Linked DNA regions of Stegostoma tigrinum. The protein of the gene in region 1 purifies or fractionates together with the protein of each later gene. This does not show direct contact. Links are inferred from orthologs where the notes say so. Each region holds a gene or a part of one and is shown on either strand. Other genes may lie near its edges. The genes, in order: prpf40a, ncbp3 and RNA-binding protein 25.

Region 1 (10,566 bases):
TTAAATGGTTATATATGATGTAAACCGTAGTTCTAAAGGAGTTAGTAGTGATTATAAAAGCAATGGTGTGGATCTCAAGGAATCACTGCCGTCAGAGAAGGTCCCACAGGAGTGAAACACAGCTAATGTAACACCTTTACGTAAGGGTGTGCGTGTGGTGGAAGAGACAGACGACAGAAAACCATGGACCAGTTAGCCTGACCTTGGTCATCAGAAAGATTTGACAGTCCATTACTAATGATGAGATTACACAGTACTTGGAAGTGCATTGTAAAATAGGGCTGAGTCAGCATAGCTTCAAAGGGAGGTCATGCTTGACAAATCTGTTACAATTCTTTGGAGCAGAGGTTGATGGGTGATCTTCTACAGGTTTATAAGATCATGAGGGGCATGGATAGGGTGAATTGCAGAAGTTTTTTCTTGGGGGTCGGGGGGGGTGGAGGGAGTTCAAAACTAGTAGGCATAGGTTTAAGATGAAGAGAAAAAAATTTAGAAGAAACCTGAGGGGCAACTTTTCACGCACAGGGTGGCGCAAGCATGGAATGAGCTGCCGGGGTGGTGGTGGAGGCAGGTACATATACAAAGTTTAAAAGGCATCCTAATGGTATATGAATAGATTTCGGTTTCGAGATATGGGGCAAATGGGACTAGATCAGTTTAGAATATCTGTTTGGCACAGATTGGACCAAAGGGTTTCTTTTGATGCTGAAAACCTGAGATAACCAGCACGTTAGATGAAAGAAACCACTAAATACGATCTATTTGGATTTCCAGAGGGCCTTTGACAAGGTGCAACACAGGAAGCTGCTAAATAAGCTACGAGCCAATGGTGTTAAGGCAAGATACTGGCAGGAGGTGGAGAGAAGAGGTCTTCTCAGGATGACAGCCAGCAACTAATGGTATTCCAGTGGTACCACAACTATTCACGTTATGCATTCTTGATCTGGATGAAGGAACTGGGGCCATTGTTGCTAAGTTTGCTGATGGCACAAAGCTAGGTGGAGGAGCAGGGAGCCTGAAGGAGTTGGACAGTCTAGGAGAGTGGGCAAAGTGACAGATGGAATACATTGTGGGAAAGTGTCACTTTGGTAGGAATAGCAGAGCAGACCGTTTTGCAAACAGGAAAGGTTTTTGAAATCTGAAGCACAAAGGGACTTGGGAATTTTATTCAGGATTCTCAAAACTAAGAGACAGTAGGAACTGCAGATGATGGAGAATCTAAGATAACAAGGTGCAGAGCTGGATGAACACAACTGAGCATCAGAGGAGCAGGAAAGCTGACATTTCAGTCCCAGACCCTTCTTCAGAAAATCTTCTTCAGAAATAGGCCCAAAATGTCAGCTTTCCTGCTCTGCTGATGCTGCACGGCCTGCTGTGTTCATCCAGCTCTGCACCTTGTTATCTCAAAACTAACATGCAGGTTCAGTTGGCAGTTAGAAGACAAATGCTATGTTGACCTTCATTTCAAAAGGGTTAAGAATAGAATAGCAAAAACATGCTGCTCAGGCTGTTTTGGAATATTTAGCAGTTTGGACCCCACATCTAAGGGGTGGATGAGCTGGCATTACAAATGATCCAGAGATCCCAGGGTGGTTGAGGACTTTGGGTCTGTAATCAATGGAGTTTAAAAAGCTAAGAGTAGGATCTGATTGAAACTTGCAGAATAATGAGGGCTCTGGATAGAGTGGGCATGGAGAAGATGGTTCTACTACTAGGAGAGACTAGTACTACAACTAGAGATTAGATGATAACCTCAGAATGAAGGGACTAAAAGGAGAAGGAATTTCTTCAACCAGAGGGTGGTTAATGTGGAAGTCATTGCCAGAGAGGGCCATGGAGGCCAAGTCATTGAGTGTCTAAGACAGATAGATAGGTTCTTGATTAGCAAGGGCATGAAAGATTAAGAAAGGAAGGCAAGAGAATGGTGTTGAGAAACATATCAAACATGATTGAACGGTGGAACAGACTGTATGGTCCAAATGGCCTAATTCTGTTCCTACATCTTATGGCCTTGAAGAGGCATAGCAAACCAATGCAGAAGAGATTTACTTATACAACAGATTTGCAAAGCTTTTCATTGGAAAATAAAGTTGGAGGAGATCTGATCGAGGCAAAACAGATATTTTGATCAGGATTATCTAATTTAATTGATTGACAAGTTAAGATCATCATAGAGTCTCTACGGTGTGGAAATAGGCTGTTCGGCCCAAAGAGTCCACACCAATCTTCTGATAGGCATCACATACAGACCCATTCCCCACCCAATATTTCTCATGGCTAACACATCTAACCTTCATATCCCTGGCCACTGTGGGGCAATTTAGCATGGTCAATCCACCTAACTTGTGCATTTTTGGATTATGGGAGGAAACCAGAGAACCGAGAAGAAAAAAATCAACACAGGAGAGAATGTGCAAACTCCACTCAGTTGCCCGAGGCTGGAATCGAACCCGGGTCCCTGACAGAAATATTAAAGAACACCAAAATAACAAACTTGGGCCAGGACAGGTGAGGGTAATAGTTTGTCTTTTTTAAAAAATACAAGCAAAGGCAAGTGGATATTTGTCTGTAGAATGCCCTTTCATACAAGATCCTGGAAGCACAACCTACCAGTGCTATTTAGGTCATATTTCCGATGAAAATGAGAGTAAGTTTGTCTTTCCAGGTGAAGCTTGTTTTTGGCTCAAGTGCAGGGCAGTGTGTGCCCTAGACACACAAAACAGTAACTTCACTTGTTATTCAACCATTTTAATTTTGGAGCTGCACACATGAACTGGAGCAAAGCAATTCTTATGAGATTTCTGGCAACAGCAAGTGGAAACCAAAAAAAAAAAAATGTCTGTGCTGTCTAAACTGCAGATTTGTAAAAAAATTCTGAGATGCCCCTGACATTTCAGGATTTAAGAAATTATTTCACTCGTGTAATATTGCTCTCTCCATTGGTATCCACCACATCTCTACTTAAATTAATGCTCTGAACCTATGACATGTTCTGCATATTACTACTGCATTGTATTCATTCATTTTAAACTGTAGTGAGGTTGATTCCTTTGCTTTAGCATCACGATCATTATTTTGTTTTAAAACAGAGCTGGTACCATCCTTACTTTATTTAAAAAACATAATTGGATGTACCCCATGCCAGAAATTGAGTAATCAAGATGAACATAAGTTTAAAAAGTTTAAATATTAACTAAATCAGATACACATTCAGCATATTAATTTTCTCTCAGAAAGCACTCATCACATTTTCTGATCTGTTCAAGTAATAGATTCAAATATATATGTAGATAGGAGGAAGAGCCATATTGGACTGAAACATTCGCTTTTTCTTTTCACAGATGCTCCCACACCCACTGGGTTTCTCCAAGGCATTTTTATTTCAAGTTTCCAACATCTGCAGCATTTTGGTTTTATTTGAGGAGCAAATTATTTTTTCCAGAGTTACCAATCAGGATACTAGCACTTGCAAATCAAATTAATATTTGACAGATTTCTTGCATCAATCATGGATCCTCATGTAGATAAGCACTGACATGGTTTACCCACAGTGCCACATTTCAAACATCCAACATTGTGAACTGCACTTCAGAAAAAAAGACTTAAAAATATTAAATATTACAAGTTATTGCAACAAACAGAAGCAAGCTTAGCTACAGAAATAAAAGGAATCAAAGGAAGTCATTCAGGAAATCCAAGATAGTTGGTCCCAGACAACTGTTCAAAGACAGGAGGAGGAGGGGGAGGAGGGGGAGGACGGGGAGGACAATAAAGTTTGGCATGTACAGCTATCCTTGGGGTCAGAATAAGTCAAGAACACAAAGATTTGTACACATAGACAAGAACTTTCAAGTCAACATTTTGGGGGAAAGTAGCCAATTGCATGCAATAAGGGTGATGTCTCAATTTGAGAGAGGATTCAACTTTGCAAATGAAAGTCCATGGGTAACTTGCAAGTAGGGGATTCAGCCCGGAAATGGTGAATTGAGGAGTGTGAAGTAAGTTGGGAATGGAACAAGACAAGGCCGAGCGTAGCCGTCTAAGACACAGCAATATATAGCCTTGATATAAACTGAGACAATGAAAAGCCGAGTTCAGGATCAAACATGATATCAACCTAGTTCAGTAAACACACGTGTACAGGAGACAAACAAACACTTAGGTCAGAGAGGGTGGGAAAACTGCAAAATTACCAGGGTTTTCAGATTACCAAGTACGTTCTGACTCTATTTATCCTCAACTGTCTCATGTGCATATTATTTACATCTGGGACATTTTACCCTTAAGAAAATATAAAGCTCCATTTGATATCAGAAACCAGAATTTACCTAAATCGAGCAGGTGACAAGGGTGTCGGTGGAAACATTCCGGGTTCGAATGAATCAAAATACGTCAATGTCCATGAGAAACTGCAACATGAGAAACCAGCCGTCAAAGCCAAAATCAACGCACTCCAAAGGCCTGAAAAAAAGAAAGTTGTTAAAAAGTGACAAGAAAAAGGGGGAGGGGCTAGTACATTTAAACCAAAGTGCCAACTTCAAAAGGATACGTTACCTAAAATACCGGTTTTAACACCATCCTCACTGTTTTCTCTATCCCAGCGCAAATCTGCAATCGTAATTCAGGTTATTTTAAACCAAAGTTCAAAGTTCAATGCTTAACAAAGTTTTAAAGCTTCCTCAAGAAATCAACTGATGAACATCAGTACCTTTGAGGATTAAGTACATAACCGCTAGAAGAAAGGCAATGAACGATATCACGATGATACAACACAGCATTGAGCACAGCCGGGCCGGCCACTTCTTACTCCGGCAGTCACTATAGGCAGTCGGCACCAGTGCCCGGTTTGGCCTCGTCCTGTGACTCGGTAGGACCACGGCCTCCTTCGCGGAATCTGTCTGTGAACGAACGCCAGGCGAATCGACGTCCGATTCACAGACTATCAGCTCCCCACCGTCTGGCCACAGGCCTTCGGGCAGAGCGGACATCCCGCTCCGCTTCAAGTACCGCGGCATCGAGCAGTAACTACTACCGCCGAAAACTACCAGTACAGAGCCACGGCTCCGTCTCCCACAGAAAGAGAACCACCACCTGAAACCTGCTTCCCGCCTCTCTCTCCAACTCTCTGTCGAACCAACCGAAAGCGTGAAAAGAGCCCACCCCCGGCCGCCTGCTTTATCCAATCAAAAGAAGAGTGTGGGGAGGGCGGGACTGGCGTTCCGCTTTGCGGCACATGATTGGTGATAATGCCGACACCGGGTGAAGGGCGGGACGAACGTCCTTTCCTCGTAGTCTACAGGTGAAAAGTGCTGTCACTCAAAGCGAGGGGCGTGGAACATATTTCCAGCACTTGATTGGTTACTTGTCCATCATTCTGCGGGAAGAGGCGGGGTGAACTGTTACATTGTCTGGCGAACAGCGCTGTCACTCGGAACGAAGGGGCGGGTCTGGATTATAGTCGTCACTTCGTTGGTTGATAACACGGTGAAGCAGCTCGAGAGGCGGGGTTAGACAGTTCTCTGCGTCTGATAGGTGAATAGCGCTGTCAATCAGTAGTGCGCGTCGGGGACGCAGATCCTGTCACCTTTGACCTTTGCCCCATTGCAGGGCTGAGCCAGTCGAATCGTGCGCCGCTGTTACTGCGGGTCGTGAGGGCCGCGCTAGAGCGGAGCCGAGAACATGGTGAGTGGGGGAACTGCAATGAACAGAGTCGCCCCTTTACTGGAGCCGAGTCCGCGATGAGGGAGAGGTTCGCCTCATCCGAGCCCTGCTCCATGAGAGGCCCGAGTGGCAGCTGCTGCCCCCGCCGGCGACCGGGCTTTCTGTCCGTGACTGGGCCGCACAGCGACCTCTGCAAGATGGGCGCGTGTTGTGAGAGGCGGCTGGATGATGGCCTGATGGTTAGCGGGCGGGGCGTTTTGCAGGCCGCGGGGGAGCCTCACCGATCGCTCGCTGTGTCCATTCCTCTTGGCGGAAAGGGGTAGCGCGGCGCTTCCGAGTTTAAAAAAACATCAAAGCGGTTCCGTGTAATTATGAATGAATGGACGAATCGGCTGGGAGGGTGAAAATCGCAGTTGGTTTACGTTGATCAGGGTTACATTTTTGTGCGGAAATTCAAAATCTGTTCCCAGCCGTTCGTCGTGCAATAAATGAAAATACACAGTTTAACAACATGGCGTACCCGGCCCTTCCCTCAAAATGAGTAAAAAGCCAGGTGATATTAGAATAATGAAAAAGGAAACTCTACTGGTCTGTTCTATCCCGATTGCTCAATGGTAAATTCACATTAAATATATTGTAAAAGTAATTTGTTCTGATTTGTTGAAAGTGCAGAAATAAACCTACTGTCAAGATGAAATGAATGAAAAGTCGAATATGGTTTTATTGGATTTGCTGATGCAAAATAATTTTCAGGCATACTTCATCTTATATTCTGTTGTACTGAACAAACATGATTGGGGCATACATTTGCATAAAACATAATATTGTACATAAATGTGCAGGTAGATACATTACATAGGCCTGAAAAATGAATGTTTATGATTATCTGTTGCCAGTCCACTTACTTTGCCTGAGCATAGACATCAACTTTTTCAGCTGCCTGGACTCAGCACTTTGGAATTATCTCCACAGGTCTTTGCTTTTTCACCTTTTCAGTGCCTTGAAGACTTCATAGAATCCCTGCAGTGTGGAAGCAGACCATGTGCTCCTGAGATGCTGCTTGGCCTGCTGTGTTCATCCAGCCTCACATTTTATTATCCTTCTCAGACTCAACCCTTTACCCCATCCCTGTAAGGCGAGGTGATGGCCTAGTGGTATTATCACTGGACTGTTAATCCAGAAACCCAGATAATGTTCTGGAGACCTGGGTTCAAATCCCACCATGGCAAATGGTGGAATTTGAATTCAATAATATCTGGAATTAAGAGTCTAATGATGACCATGAATCTATTTTCACTTGTTGGAAAAAGCCATCTGGTTCACCGATGTCCTTTTGGGAAGGAAACTTGCATCCTTACCAGGTCTGTCCCTACATGTGTCTCCAGACTCTCAGCAGTTTAGTTGACACTTAACTGCCCTCTGTGCAATTTTAGATGGGCAATTAATGCTGCCTGGTCAGAGATGCCCCCATCCCTTGTATGAACTTTTTAAAAAAAGATGCATTTCCAATGGCTAATCCATCGCAGTGTTGAAGCAGACCCCCATTTGGCCCACCAAGTCCACACTAACCTGCTGAAGAACATCCCACTCAGACCCACCCCTTTACCCCATCCCTGTACATCCTTGGCCGCTGTGGGTAATTTAGCATGGCCGATCCACCTAACCTGCAAATCTTTGGACTTGGGAGAAAATCGGAGCATTCGGGGCAACCGATACAGACACACAAAGAATGTGTGCAAACTCCACACACAGTTGTTGCCTGAGGGTGGAATTGGTCTCTGGTCTGTGAGGCAGTAGTGCTACCCACTGTGAATCACTTTGCCACTCTTGCTTTCAAAACCCAACTGTTTAATCTCTTGTCCTCATATCTTCCTCTGGCTTGATGTTCATTTTTATCTGAGCCTGCTGTGTGTTCTTAAGATTGCTTGTAATGTCCCACGTGCTACATAAAGGCAAGATGCCATAATGTTCATACCTCAGCATATTGGATAGTTATATTAATCAGCCCAATGAAACAACCAGAACTGTTAAGATATTGTCCAATATTTTGCTGCAGTGCACGGTCAATATTTCTTTTAAGTATATAAATGCAAGGCAGGCTGTGCAAATATGAAGCTCCTGAGTGCATTTATGCACTGTCTGTTTCAAGGGTACACAGAGCAGGAAGGCCATTTAGTGAACCATCCAATCAGAATAGATCTGAAATTTTCTCATTGCAACATGCAGTTCATTCTTAAATAATAATATTGTTTTTGATTTCTTGGTACAGTGGTGGAGATGATTCAACATGTTATAACAGGAAGTTATCCACATTAATGAATGACCTAAATTAATGCTTTGGGAACCCATTAGCTAGTTTGTAATTACTCAGTGACTTCTTCGTAGTAACTGTCAAAGCCCCAAAAATCTTCTGATTCTCTGCATTCGTTATTGGACACATCAAATGAATGTAAACACTTCAGTGGAAATGTTTGAAGAACAGCAATGTCGTGGCCAGCATTCATTTCTTCAACAACATCACTACAAATCTGATTGCTGTAATTTTACTGTTAATTTGACCTTGCTATGGGAAAAATGGCAGCCATATTTTTCTATATTAAAACGTGATTACATTTCTTGTTATTAATCGGCTATAAAGCACTTTGGGATGTCTTGAAGAGCAGACGGTAGCACTGTTAGCCTCAGATTTGTGCCTGCATTTCAGCACTTGCTGCATATCCCATTATAGCCTTATTAAATAGAAATCCATATCCAGTGCTCAGCTCTAATTGTTATAACAGCCAAAAATCTTTGAGGAGAGTTTCAAATTTTGTCGTCTTTGTGTAAAACCTGTCTAACGTAGCCTAAAATAGCCAAATGCCCCTGCTGCTTGGGATGGAGAATTCCAAGGATTCATAATCCTCTGGTACAGGATAAAAAATAATCCTCATCTCTGTCTTATGGGAATGAACTTACTTAGAAATCCTGACCTCCAGCTATATATTGCTCAAGAGGGGAAAACATCTTTTCAAAATCTACCCTTCAGTATAGAGTCCCTTTAGAATCTTAAATGTTTTAACGAAATCACTTATCCAGATCGCCAGCAGTTATATGCCCAAAGTAAGGACATGGGTCCTCTTGTCCATCAATCAGAAAACGTTAGGCAAGCCCTATAAGTAATTCGAAAGGCAAATGGAATATTAATGCTTCTTGCGAGGGAGTTGTGTGAAAGCAGGGAAGTCTTAATACAACAGTGCTGGTCTATGGTGAGTCCAAACTTGGAGAGCAGCAATAGTTTTGATTTCTTGCATTGGGTGTAGATATTTTCTAAACAACCTGTTTAGGGATGTTGTTACACACTTGGCGACCAGGTGAGACTTGAACCTGGGCCTCCTGGCTTAGAGATAAGGGCACTACATCTCTGCCATAAGATCCCTCTTGAAGGAGTATGTACCGACAGTGGAGGCAGTTCAGAAGTGACTTGCTAAGTTGATTTCTCGTATTGGGGCTTCCTTTATAACGAAAGACTGACCGATAACTTACTTGCCTTGCATTCCAGCCTCCTCCAGAAGGCCCATTCTGTATTAATACTTGCAATTACAGTATTTGGATTCTTAAATTGCTGCTCCTCCACAGTCCCTAGTTTATCAACTTGCAGAAAATATTCAGACTTGTTTTTCTTGGATCCACAGTTACCTTGCAATAGGTAACAATGCGTAACATTTTCATCGTTTTACCAGCTGTTTGACCACTGACCTGGCTTGGTTCTTCTATTGTTGGTTTCTCCTGACAGGCCTTTTTGCTGTCTCTCCCAACTTGTGCGGTTTGGAAACATTTAGATAAGTACAAATAATTTTATAACACTTTGGAAATTCAGTAATGTTGTTTGTTTTTTTTTAGCCTGTCCAGAGTTGAATATCAGTTGTATAAATATTTTACGACTTCTCCCCATTTATTTGCGTGAGGACATGTACCCAGGCTTTCTCTTGAATGTTTGGAGTTTGTAGTCCTTGTCTTCGTTTTGATAATCACTGCAATGCTTTTTAACTTTCACTATCTTCAACTGTTATTTTTGACACTGGTTCAGCTCACTGTCAGTATTTAACCTTTGGTCAGCTTGGGTCTAGTACTTCCGTTATGATTTGGCTTTAATCAGTGTTAATACATGCAATGTTTGATTTTCTTGGGTGTTTTCTTTTCAGGATATCTTCACTTATTCTTACCTATATAATTAATTTGTTCACTTTGTTTAATTTTCTCTTAATGATGCCCCAACCTTTCCTGAAGTTTTGGAGAATTTAGTTAGGTCTTGTGGGTTCCATGTCTTTTTATTTCTTGAGTGAAGTCCCAACAAAATCAGTAATCTTCAGTTTTCTCCCCCTATGTATTTGGATTTGCATTTCAGATCTGGTTATCCTCTCAAGATCCTAGTACATTGGTGGATGCTGCCAATTCCCAGTATATGGGCCTTTTTCACTGGACCCAATTTATAGTAGTTTTAGTAAATCTGGAATGTTAATTTTGGAGTCTCTGCTGAGTGGATGAGACAGATGAACTGGGGTTGAGGATTATGCATACTTTGCAATTGTTACCGAAGCAAGTTGGTAGGCTTCCAAGCACACAAGTCTTGACAAGACAATTTCTCATTGTTTTGTAATCCCAATGTTTGAAGCACTTGCCAAGCAGAGTAAGGAAATGACTTATTTTGGTTAATTGAACTGTGTAATTAGAAAATGATCAATTTTAGAATAATGAGATAACAAGGTGTAGAGCTGGATGAACATAGCATGTCAAGCAGGAAAGCTGACGTTTTGGTCCTAAGCCCTTCTGAAGAAGGATCTAGCCCCAAAACGTCAGAATTCCTGCTGCCCTGATGCTGCTTGACCTGCTTTGTTCATTCAGCTCTGCACCTTGTTATCTCAGATT
Region 2 (10,716 bases), on another chromosome or scaffold:
TGTGTCCTCCTGTTGTTGTCTGTTTAATAGGAATCTGTGGATGAAGTTGCAGGGATATCTATTTAAAACGAGGATACTGTGTAAGTGTTTTTCATCATCCTGGTGCAGTTCTGGAGCGTTGCAGTGTGTCCAGGCCCGATTATATAGTATCCTAATGCAGCTTTGTTTGTGGATGCTGGGGTGGTTGCTGTGGAAGTTGAGGATTTGATCCGTATGGGTCGCTTTTCTTTATACGGAGGGTTGGAATGCCCATCTGTCAGGCGTTCCATCTTAACATCCAGAAATTGTTGGTTTCTTCTCCCCTTGTGAATTTAATCCCTGCAAATACGCCGTTGATGAGGTGGTGGGTCTCTTCTAATTTGTTGCATTTAATAACGACAAATGTGCCGTCTACGTACTGGATCCACAGTTTCGGTTGAATGTGGGGGAGGGTGGTGTGTTCTAGTCTTTGTATGACTGCCGCTGTGAGAGTCCCAAGATGGGTGACCCCATTGGCATATTGTCAATCTGTTTGTATATGTGACCATTAAAGATGAGGTGTGTGGTGAGGCAGAGGTCTGGTAATTTAAGGGCGTTGTCCTTGCTGATGGAGCTGCTGGTCTGTGTAGCGGTTTCCTCTAGTAGCATGGCCACTGTTTCTTTGGCTAGTGGGATGTCAATTGATGTAAATAAAGCTGTGACGACAAAGGTTACCAATAATCTCGTTGTCACTGATTTTTATGTTCTCGAGGGTATCAAAGAAATTTTGGGTTGAGTGGATAGAATGAGGTGATCTATCAACCAGGTGTTTCAGCCTCTGTTGTAGGTCCTCAGCCAGTTTGTGTGAAGGTGTGCCTGGTAGGGAGACAGTGGGCCTGAGGGGAATGTCTGCTTTATGTACTTTGGGCAGTCCATAGAAGCCAAATGTAGACATGCACAGGAATTCCTAGACGCATGGTTCTCTGCCCACACTTCAATCAACAAACAGAATTGGACCCAAATACAAACCCATGCAGATCCAAACCGGAAAAACAACACTTCTCACCATAATGGACCGGGCAGTATAAATTCCGAGTGGAGTAGAACAACATCGCTTCTTCAGAGGCTTCACTGATGATGACACCTAGCACAGTGACAAAACATCTGAACAAAAGCTAGCCAGCTTGGCAAGCAAGTTAACAACCTCAAATCCTGCATTCCAGGCACAATCCTGGTAAATCTTTACTGAAATCTCTCTAGCTTAATAACATCCTTCCCATAACTGGGCACAACATTCCAGAAGAGGCCTCACCATTTTCCTGTACAACCTCATCATGACATCCTAACTCCGAGACTCAAAGATCTGAGCAAAGGTAAGCATTCTAAATCCCTTAACAACCCCGTCTACAAAAAGAACATGAAGGAGCGCTAGTGGATATAAAAATATGAAGGTTCAAAAATTGGCTTTATACTGGCTTATCTTTCATTTCTTTACATGTTTGTTAGGGAAACTCTGGGAGTAAACTGGAATCAGGGTATGGATACAAAGGAGAAGGCAATGAGCATTAAAAGCATTAACACACAAGGACATACTAGCCCTGGAGCGTGTCCAGCGGAGATTCACATGGATGATCCCTGGAATGGTAGGTTTAACGAATGATGAACGGCTAAGGATCCTGGGATTGTACTCATTAGAGTTTAGAAGGTTGAGGGGAGATCTAATAGAAACTTACAAGATAATGTATGGCTTAGAAGGGGTGGACGCTAGGAAGTTGTTTCCGTAGGTGGGGAGACTAGGACCCATGGGCACAGCCTTAAAATTAGAGGGGGTAAATTTAAAACTGAAATGAGACGACATTTCTTCAGCCAGAGAGTGGTGGCCTTGTGGAATTCATTGCCACAGAGTGCAGTGGAGGCCGGAACATTGGATGCCTTCAAGGCAGAGATCGACAAATTCTTGATCTCAAAAGGAATCAAGGGCTGCAGGGAGAGTGCAGGGAAGTGGTGTTGAAATGGCCATCAGCCATGATTTAAATGGCGGAGTGGACCTGATGGGCCGAATGGCTTTACTTCCACTTCTATGTCTTATGGTCTTAAGTTGCTGGATGTAATAAAACCAAGGTGTCTTGTAACTTGGCAGATGAGTACAGAGTTTTAAACTATTCCCAGTAATCAGCAATAACTTACATCTACCTTCAGTTACTGCTCCAAAACATCACAAGGAACTTCATATGAGCATTACAAAATACAAGTATGACACTGAGCCACAAAGAGATAGCAGGTCAGAACTGTGGTCAAAGGCAGTTTTAACAGGCATCTTAAAGAGGAACAGAATGAAGCTGAGGGATTTAAGGAGAAAGTTACGGAGCTCAGAGCGCAGGTAGCTGAAGGTACAGCAGCCAATGAGGGAGGGATTGAACTCAGGACGTTCCCAGTCGAGGCCAAAACTGCAGGAGCAGAGATCTTGGAGCTGTGTGGTGCTGAGGGAAATCGTACAGATGATGAGAGGCAAAGCCACGGATGAGTTCACAAAGGAGGATGAAAATTTTGAAAACGCACTGCTGCTCGAACACGAGCCAATGCAGGTCAGACAGTGTGGGATACAAGGGGTCAGTGCTTGGTGGGAGTTAATCAACCTTGATTTCTGAGTTGTCAACAGATCAAAACATGATTTGAAGTCCCTCTGATGGAGAGATCATCAGCTTGGGAACCAACACCATAAAGTCACCAGCAGCACCCAGACAACATTACACTTACCAAACTAAACACTTTTCAACAATCTCCACCCAAAACAGGAGCTCAGTTTGGCATATTTTAAAGTAGCCAATGCCTCAGCTCATGCCCAGATAGCCACCACAGCCCCAGCCAATCAGCATTACAAAACCAGAAGATAAAAACATGACAACAGAACAGAGTAAAATTAGCTATTTCCACAATTTCATTGCGAGGGTGAAGCTGCTGTTGCAACGCACGATACGCAGAGTGTCCACAAATCCACATCCCAAACTGCCAGTGCGAAAATCCCCAGAAAAAGTGCTCATCCGGAGCGAGGCCACTGAGAATTTCACCGGAAAAGTTATTATTTGTCTCACTCAGTCAAAACAGAGGCTTCGGAGGGGACAGCGCCCACTCCCTCAGCACTGACCCTCCGACAGTGCCCACTCCCTCAGCACTGACCCTCCGACAGTGCCCACTCCCTCAGCACTGACCGTCCGACAGTGCCCACTCCCTCAGCACTGACCCTCCGACAGTGCCCACTCCCTCAGCACTGACCCTCCGACAGTGCCCACTCCCTCAGCACTGACCCTCCGACAGTGCCCACTCCCTCAGCACTGACCCCCCGACAGTGCCCACTCCCTCAGCACTGACCCTCCGACAGTGAGGCGCTCCCTCAGCACTGACCCTCCGACAGTGCCCACTCCCTCAGCACTGACCCTCCGACAGTGCCCACTCCCTCAGCACTGACCCTCCGACAGTGCCCGCTCCCTCAGCACTGACCCTCCGACAGTGCCCGCTCCCTCAGCACTGACCCTCCGACAGTGCCCGCTCCCTCAGCACTGACCCTCCGACAGTGCCCACTCCCTCAGCACTGACCCTCCGACAGTGCCCACTCCCTCAGCACTGACCCTCCGACAGTGCCCACTCCCTCAGCACTGACCCTCCGACAGTGCCCACTCCCTCAGCACTGACCCTCCGACAGTGCCCGCTCCCTCAGCACTGACCCTCCGACAGTGCCCACTCCCTCAGCACTGACCCTCCGACAGTGCCCGCTCCCTCAGCACTGACCCTCCGACAGTGCCCACTCCCTCAGCACTGACCCTCCGACAGTGCCCACTCCCTCAGCACTGACCCTCCGACAGTGCCCACTCCCTCAGCACTGACCCTCCGACAGTGCCCACTCCCTCAGCACTGACCCTCCAACAGTGCCCGCTCCCTCAGCACTGACCCTCCGACAGTGCCCGCTCCCTCAGCACTGACCCTCCGACAGTGCCCTCTCCCTCAGCACTGACCCTCCGACAGTGCCCGCTCCCTCAGCACTGACCCTGTCCTTCCCTCCTCACTCTAACCTCTCCGAGGCCTTTGTGATTCCCGCCCCCCCCCCAAACCCGGGCCCGAGGCCTGGGCCTCTCCTCACCGGGATCAGGTCCTTGAGCGACCTCCGCACTGAGATGGTGTCCAGCCTCTCGGGCTCGATCTCCCCCTCCTCCACCTCCATGGGCTCGTCATCCCTCTCGGTGCTGGCGGCCCCCTCTGCCCCAGGCCCAGGCTCCAAACAGACCCGCAGGCCCCGCACCGCCGCCATGACAAACAAGGAGTCGCCGAGGGAAAGGCAAGAGGTGCCACCTGCCGCCACGGCCGGCGTACCATCCAATGCTGAGGAGTGCAACGCGCGGCAAGAGATTACTCAGCTCGCCGTAGTTTGCAGTGAGCGGATCGCAGCGCCTCCCTGCGGCCTGGAGAGTAACTGCCCCCTCCAGCTGGAATGTCAAATCAATCAAGTGCCACCCTTTGCCCCATGAGTTGGCACTGAGCCTGACCCAAGCTTCCATCAGGACAGTTTCCCAATCCAACACTCTCCAAACTTTCACTGCCCATGATTAGTGCCCTTTTCAAGCCATCCAAAACCTCAGCCACCTGGCATTATTCCTGAATTGTCTAGTGGGATGTGGGCATTGCTGGCTGGCCCCAGCATTTATTGCCCATCCCTAGTTGCCCGTTGAGATGGTGCTGGTGAGCTGCCTTTTTTAATGACTGCCGTCAATGTGCTGTGGGCTGACACAACACACAATGTTATTAGGGAGTGAATTCCAGGATTTTGACCCAACAACTGTGAAGAAACAGCGATATATATCCAAGACAAATGGTGAGTAGCTTGGAGGCGAGCTTTCAGACGGTAGTGTTCCCATGCATCTCCTACCCTTAAGCTTCTAGATTGGTCATGGTCATACATTTTGAAAGTCTTGTCGAAAGATCTATAAATGATGAGATTTTTCTCAAGATCATGAAGGTTTGCAATTGTGGGAAGGTATGGAATTGAGCTGGACAAGTTTCCTGAATATTGAACCCTGACAAAGAAGGACATTGGCTTCTGCTTGAGGACAGTGGAGCTGAATCAGTAATAAGGCTGGCCACAGAAGGTCAAGGGGGCACTCGGTGGTGGTCTATAAGATTGAGGGGTGTGAATAGAATGAATAGAAAGCAGATATAATGCAGCATGGAGCTAGAGGAACACAGCAGGCCAGGCAGCATCAGAAGAGCAGGAAAGTTGACATTTCGAGCCCCATTTGAAGGGTCCCAACCCAATAGACCAACTTTCTTAGATAACAAGGTGTGGAGCTGGATGAACACAGCAGGCCAAGCAGCATCTTAGGAGCAGGAAAGCTGACGTTTTGGGCATGGACCCTTCTACAGTTCCCATTATCTCAAGTCAACTTTCCTGCTCCTCTGATGCTGCCTGGCCTGCTGTGTTCCTCCAGCTCCACCTGTGTTTTCACTGACTCCAGCATCGGCAGTTTTTACTATCTCTGAATGAATAGAAAGTAGGGTTGAAAGGTCGACAATGAGGATGCATAATTATAAAGTTACACACAAGGGGCTTTGAGGTGATTTGAGGAAAACCTTTTCACCCAGAGGATGGTGCGGGACTGGAAAGCACTTTGGGAGGGTAGTTGAGGTGGAAGTTCAAACCTTTAAAAACTACATGAATGAGCAGTTGAAATATCATTGCATTCAAAGTTATAGGCCTAGTATAGGTTGTAGCAAATTTTTGATGGGCCAAAGAGCCTCTTCTGTACTGGATGATTCTATGAGGTAAAACCAAATTCTAGCAGAATGGTGTGAATCCTGTCAGGAGTATTCACAGACATCTTCAACCTCTCTACTGTGATCTGAAGTCCCAACCTGCTTTAAGAAGACTGCCATCATCTCAGTGCCAAAGAAAACTGGTGCAGCATGCCCCAATGACTCCTGGTTGGTGCTCTGACATTGGTAATTATGAAGCTGGACATAGCTTAAATTACCTCTAGCCTCCCCCATGTAATCTTGATCCCTTGTAGATGGCCTACTGGTGCAACTCTCCAAGGCAGACTGTGAATACTGGAACATTTGGACAAGGAGGGATACCCAGGACAAGCTTCTTATTGATTACAGCTCTGCCTTCCAACACCATAATTCCAAACAAACTCCTCTCCAAACTCCAGGTCCAAGGTGTCTGCTCTTCCCTCTGTAACTGGATTCTCAACTTGCTGACCAACGGACTGCAGTTAGTAAGCAGAGCTGACCATCCTCAAAACTGCTGCCCTGTAAGGGTGTGTACTCAGCCCCCTACTATACTGAGACACACACTTGTGTGGCCAGATTCCACACCAAATCCTTTTATAAGTTTGCCGATGACGCCACCATTATAGGTGGAATTGGGAACAGTGATGCAAAGAAGTACAAGCAGGAGGTAAAGTGTTTAATGGCGTGGTGTAAAGTCAAGACTCTGTACATCAGTGTCTGCAAAACAAAGGAGCTGGTCATTGACTTCAGGAAGCAGAGTGGAGGGCATGCCTCTGTTTGCATATGGTTGAAAGCATCAAGTTCCATCAGTGTGTCCTGGTCCATCCGTGTTGATGCTTTTTGGTGAAGAAAGCACAGCAAAGCCTGTACTTCCTGAGGAGGCTAGGGAAATTCACCACGTCTATAAAGACACCTTACCAGTTTGCGTTGCTGCACCACATTGAGCATCCTAAGTGGATGCAATCTGGTATGGCAACTCCTCTTCCCGAAACCACCAGGAACTACAGTCCACGGTGCAAACCAGCCTCCCATCCACGGACTCCATCAATACTTTTCACTGCCTCGGGAAGGCAACTGGCATAAACAAAGGTCATCTCACCCCGGTTATACCTCCTACCCTTTTCTGTCGGGCAGAAGACATAAAAGTTTGTACACGTGTACCAACAGATTGAAGAACAGCTCCTTCCCTGCTTTTATCAGATTTTTGAAGAAGACTTATGAAATATTGATATTGATCTCTCTCCGCACTTTCCCTGTGGCAGTAACACTATCCTGCACTCTTGTACGGCTACCCTGATGCCTGCAGAGCATACAAAACAATACTTTTCACTGTATCTCAGTACATGTGATGATAACAAATCAATCAAAATGCTGCCTGAGGATCTTTGGTGAATTTCTGCAGTACATCTTAGGGATGGTACACACTGCTGCTACTGAGTGTCGGTGGCGGGGGGAGTGGGTGTTTGTGGGTGTGAGGCCAATCAAGCGGTTGCTTTGTCCTGGAGGGTGCCAAGCTTCTTGAGTGTTTTTAGATTAGATTAGATTCCCTCCAGTGTGGAAACAGGCCCTTCGGCCCAACAAGTCCACACTGCCCCTTGAAGAGCGTCCCACCCAGACCCATCCCCTATAACCCACACACCCCTGAACACTACGGGCAATTTCCCATGGCCAATCCACCTAGCCTGCACATCTTTGGGCTGTTGGAGGAAACCGGAGCACCCGGAGGAAAACCACGCAGACACGGGGAGAATGTGCAAACTCCACACACAGACAGTCGCCTGATGCTGGAATCGAACCTGAGTCCCTGGCGTTGTGAGGCTGCAGTGCTAACCACTGAGCCACCGTGCCACCCTGTGTTGTTGGAGCTGCCCCAATCCAGGGAACGTGGGGAGTATTCCATCGCATTCCTGACTTCATCCTGTACAGGACTTCACCTTTAGCACAGACACAAAGCTGGGAGGCCTGGGATGGTTATCGGCTGCATCCCGAGAGACCTCCTTCAGCTCAGGGGCCCCTGGCACAGTAAAGGCTTGGATAGCTTCTGGTGCCAGGCTGAGGGCTTTAGAGATGTTTGGTCATCCAGCCGGGGTGGTCAGGGTCAGGATCAGGATACAGGCCAGACAGCCAAACAGCTGTCCAGGCTGTGTCCGATCGTGGCTGTCTGGACTGAGGGACTGGCATCGATAAAGGGAGATGTGTTGGATGGCTTATACTGCTGGCGCAGTGAGAGGTGGAGTCTTCGGTGCAGCGGGCATACAGCGTGAGTGGTGCCAGGGGCCAGACTCGGTTGACAGCAAGATTGAGTGAGTGTGAGGTGTCAGGGAGAAGGTAGAGGTGCTGACCCTGGTGGAGTAAGAAGGACATTCCTACAGCACAGGCCATACCCACGATGCCTGAGACTGCACTGACCCTGTGCAGGGGTAATGGCCTGTTATCGAGGCATGAGGCTTCAAACCTCCTGTCATGGGGTTTTGTTAGGAATTTTTGGGGTGTACTGGGGGAATGTTTCGGGTGTATTCGTGGAGTGTGTGGGATGTGTTCAGGGGAATGTTTGGGGTTTATTGTGGGAATGTTTGGGGTTTATTGTGGGAATGTTTGGGGTGTATTGGGGTGGTGTTTGGGGTGTATTTGGGGGAGTGTTTGGGGTGTAATTGGGGGAGTGTTTGGGGTGTATTTGGGGGAGTGTTTAAGGTTTATTCGAGAGTGTTTGGGTGTACTGGGGGGAGTGTGTGGGGTTTATTAGGGAGTGTTTGGGGTGTATTTGGGGGAGTGTTTAAGGTTTATTCGAGAGTGTTTGGGTGTACTGGGGGGAGTGTTTGGGGTTTATTTGGGAGTGGGGTGTATTGGGGGACTGTTTGGGGTGTATTGGGGGAGTGTTTGAGGTGTACTGGGGGAGTGTTTAGGGTATATTTGGGGGAGTGTTCAGGGTTTATTTGGGAGTGTTTGGGGTATATTTGGGGGAGTGTTTAAGGTTTATTCGAGAGTGTTTGGTGTGTACTGGGGGGAGTGTTTGGGGTTTATTCGGGAGTGTTTGGGGTATATTTGGGGGAGTGTTTGGGGTTTATTTGGGATTGTTGGGGGTATATTTGGGGGAGTGTTTAAGGTTTATTCGAGGTGTTTGGGTGTACTGGGGGGACTGTTTGGGGTGTATTGGGGGAGTGTTTGGGGTGTACTGGAGGAGTGTTTAGGGTATATTTGGGGGATTGTTTAGGGTATATTTGGCAGTGTTCGGAGTGTATTTGGGGGAGTGCTTAGGGTTTATTTGGGAGTGGGGTGTATTGGGGGAGTGTTTGGGATGTATTGGGGAGTGTTTGGGGTGTATTTGGGGGAGTGTTTGGGGTGTATTGGGGAGTGTTTGGGGTGTATTTCAGGAGTGTTTGGGGTGTATTGGGGGAGTGTTTGGGGTGTATTTGGGGGAGTGTTTGGGGTGTATTGGGGAGCGTTTGGCGTGTATTTGGGGAGTGTTTGGGGTGTATTGGAGGAGGGTTTGGGGTGTATTTGGGGGAGTATTGGGGGTGTATTTGGGGGAGTGTTTGGAGTGTATTTGAGGGAGTGTTTTGGGTGTATTTGGGGGAGTGTTTAGGGTGTATTGGGGGAGTGTTTGGGGTGTATTTGGGGGAGTGTTTGGGGTGTATTGGAGGAGGGTTTGGGGTGTATTTGGGGGAGTATTGGGGGTGTATTTGGGGGAGTGTTTGGAGTGTATTTGAGGGAGTGTTTTGGGTGTATTTGGGGGAGTGTTTAGGGTGTATTGGGGGAGTGTTTGGGGTGTATTTGGGGGAGTGTTTGCGGTGTATTTGGGAGTGTTTGGGGTGTATTTGGGGGGGTGTTTGGGGTTTATTTGGGGGAGTGTTTGGGGTTTATTTGGGAGTGTTTGGGGTGTATTGGGGGAGTGTTTGGGGTGTATTGGGGGAGTGTTTGGGGTTTATTTGGGACTGTTTGGGGTGTATTTGGGGAGTGTTTGGGGTGTTTTTGGGGGAGTGTTTGGGGTGTATTGGGGAGTGTTTGGGTTGTATTGGGGGAGTGTTTGGGGTGTATTGGGGGAGTGTTTGGGGTGTATTGGGGGAGTGTTTGGGGATTATTTGGGACTGTTTGGGGTGTATTGGGGGAGTGTTTGGGGTGTATGTGGGGGAGTGTTTGGGGTGTATTGGGGAGTGTTTGGGGTGTATTTGGGGGAGTGTTTGGGGGAGTGTTTGTGGTGTATTGGGGAGTGTTTGGGGTGTATTTGGGGAGTGTTTGGGGTGTATTGGGGGAGTGTTTGGGGTGTATTGGGGGAGTGTTTGGGGTATATTGGGGTGTGTTTGGGGTGTATTGGGGGAGTGTTTGGGGTGTATTTGGGGGAGTGTTTGGAGTTTATTTGGGACTGTTTGGGGTGTATTGGGGGAGTGTTTGGAGTGTATTGGGGAGTGTTTGGGGTGTATTTGGGGAGTGTTTGGGGTGTATTGGGGAGTGTTTGGGGTGTATTTGGGGGGTGTTTGGGGTGTATTTGGGACTGTTTGGGGTGTATTGGAGCAGTTTTTCAGGGTGTTTCAATGGGTTGAGTTTGTAGGGTGATGTGGTGCAGCCATTTGCTGGAACATGACACAGTGTGATTAACTCAGATAGCGACAGAGGGTCCCGCAGGGCAGAGTAATCTCTCCTGCACTCAGTGCCAAGGGCAGGAGCTGGAAACCATCCATTAAGCAGGGGGCATCTCAACAGGGTCCCCCCAACTGACAGCAGCTGCGTAAAGCCTTGGCCTGTCACAGTGGACAGCTCCACCATCAGCCATTGCTGCTCGAAACACAATCACATTCCCCACAATCCAGCTCCCGCACCCACTCCCAATCCACACTGGACTGATTCCACACAATTCCAATAAAACCTGGTGATTTCCTGGTGCTCAGTGTATTTGGGCTGACGCCGAAACAATCTCACACTGTAAAGGTTAAATTATAACTGAGAAACTCTGACTCTAAACATAGGTCACTGACAGAGAAC
Region 3 (10,357 bases), on another chromosome or scaffold:
AGAAAAATAGAGAGAAGGGAGCCAAACAAGGCAACTCTCTTTCTCCAATCCTTTTCAACAGTGTATTCGATCTATTGGTGTGCACACTGGAAAAGGTAGACTCAGGCATTTCCACGACATTGAATAATCTGAGAATTAACTGCTCTGCTTTGGTCTTTGCAGATGATAAATGCCATTTTAAGTGATGTACATGCTGCAGTGATGGTCCAGTGTTTTTACATTAACACAGTATTTACAACAAACATCACAAAGACCAACAGCTTTAACTTCACCTATATACCTTTCTGTATAGTCGTGAAGAAAATTAGACATTAAAGGGAGCCATCATTTCTTACATTAGTCCTGGAGGGATAGAATGGTACCTAAGTGCCCATTTTGATCCATGGGCAGGTGCAGCAGAGGGTGAATGGGAGGAGAAACTGAAGAACCTGGTCTCCAACCTGCCAAACAGCTGCTCTCCAACCGATGCAGAAAGTTGAGATCTTGAAGATGCATATCAATCCCAGGCTGTGTTATCACCTGATCCAAACAGCAATATCACAGAACACCTTTTGCAAACTTGATTACACAATCTGGAATGCAACTAAGCAGTTCCTACATCTCCTGCAACACACAGCTGATAACTTCTTATACTCTAAAATGGTGGGCTTGGCACGTCAAAACGTGAGGTGCAGATCCTGGCTGCAGTTATTCAGAAATGGAAAGTACTTGACAGGTCTTTTTTTAAGATTAGATTCCCTACAGTGTGGAAACAGGCCCTTTGGCCCAACAAGTCCACACCGTCCCTTGGAGCATCCCACCCAGACCCATCCACCTATAACCCACACACCCGTGAACACTACAGGCAATTTAGCACGGCCAATGCACCTAGCCTGAACATCTTCGAACTGTGGGAGGAAACCGGAGCACCTGGAGAAAACCCATGCAGACACAGGGAGACTCTGTTGCAAACCCTGCACAGACAGTTGCCCGAGGCTGGAATTGAACCTGGGTCCCTGGCGCTGTGAGGCTGCAGTGCTAACCACTGAACCACTGTGCCATCTGCTCTTATGTCAGTTCTGTGGGCAAAGTAACACTGAGGTCATGAAAGACCTGTGCAAGCTCAACAACCTGAAGAAACCAGATATCTTCCTACAGAAGACAAGGCACATAATGCCAGAAGCAGAAGTGTTCATGGATCACCTAGATTCCTAACAAGTACTAACAGCTGAAATGCCAGAGAGAAAGTACTTAAGAGTGGAGAGATGGGAATTCACTAAGTGACTCTAGAATCAGAAGCTACAAGAACAATAGGGATTCCAATACCTGGATCATCTGTACCCAATTTGGACTAGACAAACACAGGTCACAGACATAAGACATGGAAATTAGATTAAATTAGATTTCATTAGATTACATTCCCTACAGTGTGGAAACAGGTCCTTTGGCCCAACAAGTCCATACTGCCCCTTGAAGCATCACACCCAGACCCATCCCCCTATAACCCACACACCCTGAACACTACCAGCAATTGAGCGTGGCCAATCCACCTAGTCTGTGCATCTTTGGACTGTGGGATGAAACCAGAGCACCTGGAGGAAACCCCTGCAGACATGGGGAGAATGTGCAAATTCTGCACAGACAGTCGCCTGAGGCTGGAATTGAACCTGGGTCCCTGGTGCTGTAAGGCAGCAATGCAAACCACTGAGCCACTGTGCCACCCCAAATAGTCCATGCTCTTGGTCCAACTAGTCCACATTCAGGCCAAGCAGCATCTCAGGAGCACAAAAGCTGACGTTTAGGCCCGAAACATCAGCTTTTGCACTCCTAAGATGCTGCTTGGCCTGCTGTGTTCATCCAGCTCCACACTTTGTTATCTTAGATTCTCCAGCATCTGCAGTTCCCATTATCACTAGTCCACATTCACCATGTTCCCAAAAAATACCAGCCCCACTGGCCTCCATTTTGTCTATATCCTTCCAAACATTTCCTATTCATGTCCTTATCCAAATGTTTTTTAAATGCTGTAACTGTACCTTTATCCATCACTTCCTCTGGCAGTTTCTTCCACGCATGAACCACAGCGTAAAATATTTGGCCCCCATGTCCTTTTAAAATCTTTCCCTTGTCTCCTTAAAAATATGGCCCCGATTTTGACCTCCCCAATCTGGTCAAAAGACCCTTGCTATTCACCTTTTATATGGCCCTCATGATTTTACAAACCTCCATAAAGTCACCCCTCAAATCACCAATGGTCCAGCTAAAAAAGTCCGAGCCTATTTTTATAACTCAAACCCTCCATTCCTGGCAATATCCTGGTAAATCTTTCATGAACCCTCTCCAGTTTAATAAAATCCTTCCTATAACAGAAACATCAGAACCGCACACCGGACTACAGAAGACATGTCACTGATGTCCTGTATCATCCCAATACGACATCCCAAATTCTGTACTCAAAGGTCAAGCAATGAAGGCAAGCACGCTAAATGCCTTCTTAATCACCTGTCTACATGTGACACAAACTTCAAAGAATTATGCACCTGAACTCCAAGGTCTCTCTGTTCTCCAACATTACCCAAGTTCCTACCATTAATTTGCAAAGTCCTGCCCTTGATTATTTTACCAAAATGCAGTTATTCAAATTAAACTCCATCTGGCACCCCTCAACCCACTGACTCAATTGATCAAAGATGACCTCACACACTCAAAAATGGTCACAGATGTGAGGGTCCAACAGGAATGCACAAACATTTTTGGGAAAATATCCATTAATGAGAATGCAAGAATTAAATGCCACAATAAGATCCTGACAATGTTATGAGAACCAGGAAGTACCAACAGAAATTGAACTGAGGCTGAAGGACAACATGGGTCACTGTGGAAACCCAACTTTATTTTTAAAGGTACTTGACCGTGGCGGTTTTGTGACAGTTGATATAAAGATGACAACAAGAGATTGGAGAATGCATAGGTGGGAAATAGGCATAAGTATAAAAATCTTGGTCCAGAGATTAAGGAACTGACAAGGGGGTCTTAGCCTAAACACTGACTTTGTGATGGGTATACAGGGAAGTAGCTTGAGTTGAATAGTCTCATGCAGTTCCCAGTTATACAATGGTATAAGTCATTCACCCAAGAAATGTCAAGACTCACAATGATTCTGACACTTGAGCAGCTACATCGGAGTATGGTCGGCATGGACTGGCTGGACTGAAGGGTCTGTTTCCATGCTGTATGACTCTATGATGGATGAAAAGATGATGGAACTTCCCAGCTTTATGCCACAGTGCCAGAGCCTGGTGACAAGTTTCAGGACATGCAATTTCAGCACCACCCATGGCAGTAGTAAGAAAGGACAAAACCAAATTTAAAAAAAAATCTAAGAAAAATTAAGTAATGGTGATGGGTAACAATGACAATGAATCAGGCCTTTGTGCTGTAAGTAATTGCAATGGGTTTGGTAATTTTCAACGAGATGTACAACAAATGATATTAATGTCCTTGGGCAACTAGCCCAAACAGCACTCAGCTCCACATTCCAAATTGGCGAATCTCTTTGCCCTCCTCAGTTGGTCCAAGCACACCCTTCTGCCTGTGGAAGCAGTGACTAGGGGATGTCGATTTAAAGTGACTGGGAGATAAAGTATATTCAAGTCCTCTCTACTCTATTTCGCCAGAGCGTGTAAGGGGTCTGGAGCTCACGGCCTGTAAAGTTGCATAAAGGCAGAAACCCTCCATTTATTGAAAAGGTCTCTAGATATGCACCTCAGACGTAGAAAATCTGCAGGTTATGCAAGTTCAGCCGTGTGGTTTAGTGTGGACCAAGAGGGTTTTTTTTGCAAACAATCACATTCATCTCCTTGGACAACAACATTGATTATTAAATTGCATCAAATTTCTCACTTGGGTCATTCAATCCGCATCAAGCCGAGCCCGAACGCATGTGAAGACGCCGAAGAGAGCCGAACCCGAACGCACGTGACCTACCGAAAGGAGCCGGGCCCGGGCCGACTGACGATTGACAGGGGCCTGTTTCGTTGTCTCGGCTTGGGTGTCGGTGCCTGGTTAAAAAGAGGGAGGACGATGAGCGGTGCCGGGGCTTCGGGTTTGAGTGCCGGGCCTGATCAGTTGCTCCGTTGTCAGGAGAGTTACGCGTGTAGCGCCTCGGAGGCGGCCTTCGAGTGTGATGAATGCGGCAGCCTACAGTGTGCGGTGTGTGAGCGACAGCTGCACAACCAGCCCCGACTCAGGGATCATGAAAGGAGCCGCCTGAAACCCGGACACCTCCCGTTCTGTGACCAGTGCAACGGCAACAAACCGAGCGGTGGCCGGCGTCGGGCCTGCTGTCGCTGCCTGGCCTGCAAGGTCAACGTGTGCGCCGAGTGCCACCGCCGAGGCCACTCGAACCGCCGCAAGCATCCAGTCAATAACTACCCGCAGCCAGAGGTCGAGGCTGGACTCGGGGAGGACCAGAAAGAGCACCGAGAACTCGATAAACTGAGGAGCCAAACTGCCAGCAGCTTTCTCCTGGTGGATGAGCAGGAAATGATCCAGGTGAAGGAAGCCTTTAATAACGGGGCGGAACGGCCACGGGGGGCAGTGGGAACATTTCGGATAAGGCAATAACTAGAATTCAGTGCCCTTGGTTGGCAAGGAGGCGGAGTATAAAGGCAGGGAAGTCATCCGTGAGACTACTGAGAAGGACCCCCTTATTTTTGGAAGGAAAGGATAATAGAAATCAACAGTGCAGAAAAAGACCCCTTTGGCCCATCATGTCCACGCCAGTCTAAATACTTAAAGGTTAGAACATAGAACATTACAGCGTGGTATAGGTCCTTCGGAGTGGACTCAATGGGCCGAATGGCCTTACTTCTACTCCCATGTCTTATGGTCTTATGGCCCTTGATTTTTGCACCAACTGTGAAACCAATCTGAAGCCCTACACTATTCCATTATCATCCATATGTTTATCCAATGACCACTTAACTGCCCTGAAAGTTGGCCAGTCTGCTACTATTGCAGGCAGGGCATTCCACGCTCTTACTACCCTCTGAGTAAAGAACCTACCTATGGCATCTGTCCTATATCTATCCCCCCCTCAATTTCAAGCTATGTCCCCTCGTGCTAGCAATCACCATCTGAAGAAAAAGCCTCTCACTGTCCACCCTATCTAATCCTCTGATCATCTTGTATGTCTATGAAGTAACCTCCACCTTCTTTTCTCTAACGAAAACAGCCTCAAGTCCCTCAGCCTTTCCTCGTTAGACCTTCTCTCCATACCAGACAACATCCTGATAAATCTCCTCTGCTTCCCTTTCCAATGCTTCCACATCCTTCCTATAATGCGGCGACCAGAACGGTAAGCAATAATCCCAGTGCAGCCCCACCAGAGCCTTGTACAGCTGCAACATGACCTCGTGGCTCTGAAACTTAATCCCTCTACCACTAAAGCCTAACACACCATACACCTTCCTAACAACCCTATCAACCTGGGTGGCAACTTTCAGGGATCTCTGCACATGGACACTGAGATCTGTCTGCTCATCCACACTGCCAAGAATCTTACTATTAGCCCAGTACTCTGTCTTCCTGTTACTCCATCCACAGTGAATCACCGCATGCTTTTCCGCATGAAACTCCATTTGCCACCTCTCAGCCCAGCTCTGCGGCTTAACTATGTCTGTCCGTAACCTGCAACATTCTTCTGCACTATCCACAACTCCACCGACCTAAGTGTGTTATTCGCAAATTTACTAACCCATCCTTCTACGCCCTCTTCCAGGTCATTGAGAAAAATGACAAACAGCAGTGGCCCCAAAACAGATTCTGTGTACACCACTAGCAACTGAACTCCAGGATGAACATTTCCCATCAACTACCATCCTCTGTCTTCTTACAGCTAGCCAATTTCTGATCCAAACCGCTAAATCACCCTCAATCCTAAGCCTCCGTATTTTCTGCAATAGCTTAATGTGGGGAACCTTATCAAACGCTTTACTGAAATCCATATATACCACATCAACCGTTTTACCCTCATCTACCTGTTTAGCCATTCAAAGAACTCAATAAGGTTTGTGAGACACGACCTACCCTTCACAAAACAGTGTTGACTATCTCTAATCAAATTATTCCTTTGGGGATGATTATAAATCCTATCTATTAGAATCCTTTCCAACACTTTACCCACAACCAAAGTAAGGCTCGCTGGTCTATAATTACCAGGGTTGTCTCTACTCCCTTCTCGAACAAGGAGACAACATTTGCTATCCTCCAGTCTTCTGGCACTATCCCTGTAGACAATGCCAACATAAAGATCAAAGCCAAAAGCTCTGCAATCTCCTCCGTAGCTTCCCAGAGAATCCTAGGGTAAATCCCATCTGGCCCAGTGGACTTATCTATTTTCACACTTTCCAGAATTGCTAACACCTCCTCCTTATGAACCTCAATCCTGTCTAGTTTAATAGCCTGTACCTCAGTATTCTCTTTAACAACATTGTCTTTTTCCTGTGTGAATACTGATGAAAAATATTCATTTAGTGCCTCCTAATTCCTCGGACTCCATGCACAAGCTCCTACAACTGTCCTTGACTGGTCCTAATCCTACTGTAACCATTCTTTTATTCCTCACATACCCTGAAGAAAGCTTTAGGGTTTTCCTTGATCAAACCTGCCAAAGACTTTTCATTTCCCCTCCAGCCTCTTATTAGCTCTCTCTAGACCCTTCTGGCTAACTTGAACTCTCAAGCACCCTAACTGACCCTTCACGCCTCAACTTTACATGAGCCGCCTTCTTCCTCTTGACAAGAGATTCAACTTTTGTAAACCACGGTTCCCTCGCCCGACCACTTCCTGCCTGACAGGTACATACTTATCAAGCACATGCAGGAGCTGCCCCTTGAACAAGCTCCACATTTCAATTGTGCCCAGCCCCTGCAGATTACTTCCCCATCCGATGCAACCTAAATCTTGCCTAATCACCTTGTCATTGCCTTTTCCTCCTGCTATAACTCTTGCCCTGCGGTATACACCTGTCCCTTTCCATCGCTAAAGTAAACGTAACCGAATTGTGGTCACTTCCACCAAAGTGCTCACCTACTCCCAAACCCAGTGTGGCTTGGTTCATTACCTAGTACCAAATCCAATATGTCCTCACCTCTTGTTGGCCTATCTACATACTGTCAGGAAACCCTCCTGCACACAGTGGACAAAAACTGACCTGTCTAAAGCACTCGAACTATAGCACTTCCAGTCAATATTTGGAAAGTTAAAGCCCCGCATAACAACTACCTTGTTACTTTATCTTCTATTCAGAATCATCTTTGCAATCCTTTCCTTTACATCTCTGGAATTTTTCGGAGGCCTATAGAAAACTCCCAACAGGGTCCTCCTTTCTTGTTTCTAACCTCAGCTCATACTACCTTGGCAGACGAGTCCTCATCAAACCTCACTGCAATACTGTCCTTGACTAACAGTGCCACACCTCCCCCTCTCTTACCACCTTCCCTGACCTTACTGAAACATCTCAACTCTGGAACCTGCAGCAACCATTCCTATCCCTGCTTTTTCTGTGTCTCCAAAATGGCCACAACATCTCAATCCCAGGTACCAACCCATGCTGCAAGTTCACCCCCCTTATTCCGGATGCTCCTGGCGTTGAAGTAGACACACTTCAAACCGCCATCCTGCCTGCTGGTACACACATGCGACCTTGCAACCTTATTCATGACCTCAATACTCTCACCGGAGCTACAATTCAGGTTCCCATCCCCCTGCTGAATTAGGTTAAACCCTCCCAAAAACATTAGCAAATTTTCCCCTCAGGATATTGGTACCCCTCTGGTTCAGGTGTAGACCATCCCATTTGTAATGCCCCACCTACTCCAGAATGAGCCCCAATGTTATCCGGGATTCTGCCTCTACCACCCTGTCAGGTAGTGAGTTCCAGATTCAACCACCCTCTGAGTGGGAAAAAAACATTTTCCTCACGTCTCCTCTAAACTTTCTGCCCCAACCTTAAATCTATGCGGTCGTTGACTCCTTCATCAAAGGGAAAAGTTTCTTCCTGTCTGCCTTATTTCTGTTCTGCACAATTTTGTTCATTTCAATCATGTCTCCTCTTACTTTCCACTGCTCAATGGAAAACAATCCTAGTATGTCCAATGTCACTATGTAACGGATACCCAGACATTTCTGAGGCTCGAGAGTAATTCTCCTGTGTTATCGCATTACTCCTATAATGTGGATTCCAGAACTACACCAACACTACCCTATCCAACATTTTTAATGATTCGATTAACCTTCCTGCTTTTAAATTCTATTCCTTGTCCAATAAAGACAGGTATCCCATATACCTTCTTAACCCCTTTATCCACCTGCCTCGATACCCTAAAGGCTAGTGTAGATGCACACCAAGTCCTCAGTGATCCTCACTGCTTCCTAGGGTGCTACCATTTATGATGTATTTCCTTGCCTTGTTTGTCCTCCCCAAATGTATTACCTCACAGTTATCTGGAGCAAACTCCAAATTGTCATGGATAAACCACCTATATCGTCTTGCGATATCAAGGAGGATAGGCTTCATCAGAGCTCTGATGAAGAGTCATCTAGACTCGCAACGTTAGCCTGCTCTCTCACCAGGATGTTGCAGAACCCGCTGTGATTTCCACCATTTTTTGTTGCCTTGATTTGTAGAGGATTGGGCTCATGGCTGACATGATGTTAATCCAGGGGTAAGGCAGTGGTTATCTGTGAATGATGTAGTGTTTTGCACATGTCCAGGACAAATGCTGAGCTTAGCTTTCAGGACAGTCAATAACATTAAAATGGAGAGACAGGGATATCACAGTGGCTGGAACTCTAAAGTTCGTGAACAGTGCCTTAAAACAATAAGCTGAGTGATGGGGCCCTACAATGTTCTTGTAGCACAGTTGACTATGCAAGGCAAAAGCTTATTATTTGGTCTTGTATGAGACCATGGCAAACCTCAATGGGACAATGGTTGTTCTCCTATTATGTGATTGTTGCATTCTTGTGTGACCTCATACTGTAGAAAATCACCATAGAAAATGTTATACCCGTGCAGCAGAAAGTTTGCATTATCCAAATAGAGTCCATTATTCATCAATTGCATTACCACAGAGCTACAACTGTGCTGTTTTATTTTCCTTGTAGGTATTAATTTTAGAGTTTTGCAAGGATACCAAGGAGGTTTACCAGATACACGTGCAGTTTAAAGCATCTTTGAGCCTATAAAAGAAATAGAACCAAAACCCCTCATTTCAAACTTCCCAATTATGTAGATGTAGAACAGAGGCCACCAGATTGTTATGGATTGTTTTGACTGTTTAGACCAGGTGTCACATTTGTCTAAGACTAGCTTTAGATTTTTGTCAGTGGGTGGGCCTTTTAGCCAAAACAATAGGTCTTTGGGCTGCAGACTGCACCATTAGAGAGCTCACCACCATCCTCTTGAGGGCAGTTCAGAATGAGCAACAAATATTGATCCTGCCCACTCCTAATGAAATAATTTAAAGGAAGGAACAAGCTTGTGCAGTGGATGTGGATTTGCCAGCTTTGTTAATGGGAAGTTTTTCTGACTTATGCAGTTTACACCATAATTGACAGAGACTTTAATATGAGAGAATCCAGACCAGAGTGATCACCCAGAATGGAGAGGAATTTCAATTAATAAAGTTCCCAAAGTTCTTTGCTTATAAGACAATCCCTCTACAACGGGGATAATCTTTATGAATTTTCTCTGAACTGCCTGTAATAAAATTACTGCCTTTTTCTAAATAAGGGGACCAAAATTGTCAACACTTCTCCATATGCGGTCTCTCCAGCATCTTGCACCTTGAAGCAGGAAGCCTTCTCCACTCTTAAGGGCCAGCGTTCCAATGTCTTCTGTTACTTGCTGAACATCTGTGCTATCTGTCTATGTTTTAAGCATGAGGATCCCCAAGTCTCTTTAGTTTTCTGCAGTTTATTGTCTCCATCTAAATAATATTCTGTTCTTTTGTTCTACCTTCCAAATGGACAACTTCAGATTTTTCTAAATTTTCCCACATTATTTTCCATTTGCCAATTTTTTTGCCCACTTACTTAACCTATCTCTGTGTAAACTGTTGGTGTCCATCTCACAACTTGCATTTCCAACTCTTTGTGTGAGCTACAAATTTGGCTGCAGTACATTCGATCCTTATTCAAAGTCATTAATATATATTGTAAACAGTTGCAGAGCCACCACCCATCCCTATGGAACTTCTTTGATTACAGTTGCCTGTCTGAAAAAGAATCCCTTATCCCCATTATAATAAAATGTGAGGCTGGATGAACACAGCAGGCCAAGCAGCATCTCAGGAGCACAAAAGCTGACGTT

The links.
Region 2: the proteins of prpf40a (region 1) and ncbp3 purify together in Homo sapiens (affinity purification with mass spectrometry; 3 studies listed by BioGRID and IntAct, counting the BioPlex papers as one, with this or other methods). This does not show direct contact. The link is inferred for Stegostoma tigrinum from reciprocal best matches to the Homo sapiens genes PRPF40A and NCBP3.
Region 3: the proteins of prpf40a (region 1) and RNA-binding protein 25 purify together in Homo sapiens (affinity purification with mass spectrometry; 5 studies listed by BioGRID and IntAct, with this or other methods). This does not show direct contact. The link is inferred for Stegostoma tigrinum from reciprocal best matches to the Homo sapiens genes PRPF40A and RBM25.

The regions. Positions count from the first base shown.
Region 1 is NC_081360.1:54,267,283-54,277,848, reverse strand, and holds the start of prpf40a (pre-mRNA-processing factor 40 homolog A), read left to right. Parts: upstream 1-5,577; 5' UTR 5,578-5,679; coding exon 5,680-5,682; intron 5,683-10,566. Other genes in the region: arl6ip6 (ADP-ribosylation factor-like protein 6-interacting protein 6), read right to left, coding at 4,329-4,461, 4,555-4,608, 4,709-5,015.
Region 2 is NC_081380.1:46,786,488-46,797,203, reverse strand, and holds the start of ncbp3 (nuclear cap-binding protein subunit 3), read right to left. Parts: upstream 4,315-10,716; 5' UTR 4,262-4,314; coding exon 4,094-4,261; intron 1-4,093. UniProt on the Homo sapiens protein: Associates with NCBP1/CBP80 to form an alternative cap-binding complex (CBC) which plays a key role in mRNA export. NCBP3 serves as adapter protein linking the capped RNAs (m7GpppG-capped RNA) to NCBP1/CBP80.
Region 3 is NC_081363.1:88,979,907-88,990,263, reverse strand, and holds the start of RNA-binding protein 25, read right to left. Parts: upstream 4,063-10,357; 5' UTR 3,967-4,062; exon of another isoform or gene 3,965-3,966; intron 1-3,964. Other genes in the region: zfyve1 (zinc finger FYVE domain-containing protein 1), read left to right, coding at 4,063-4,533. UniProt on the Homo sapiens protein: RNA-binding protein that acts as a regulator of alternative pre-mRNA splicing. Involved in apoptotic cell death through the regulation of the apoptotic factor BCL2L1 isoform expression.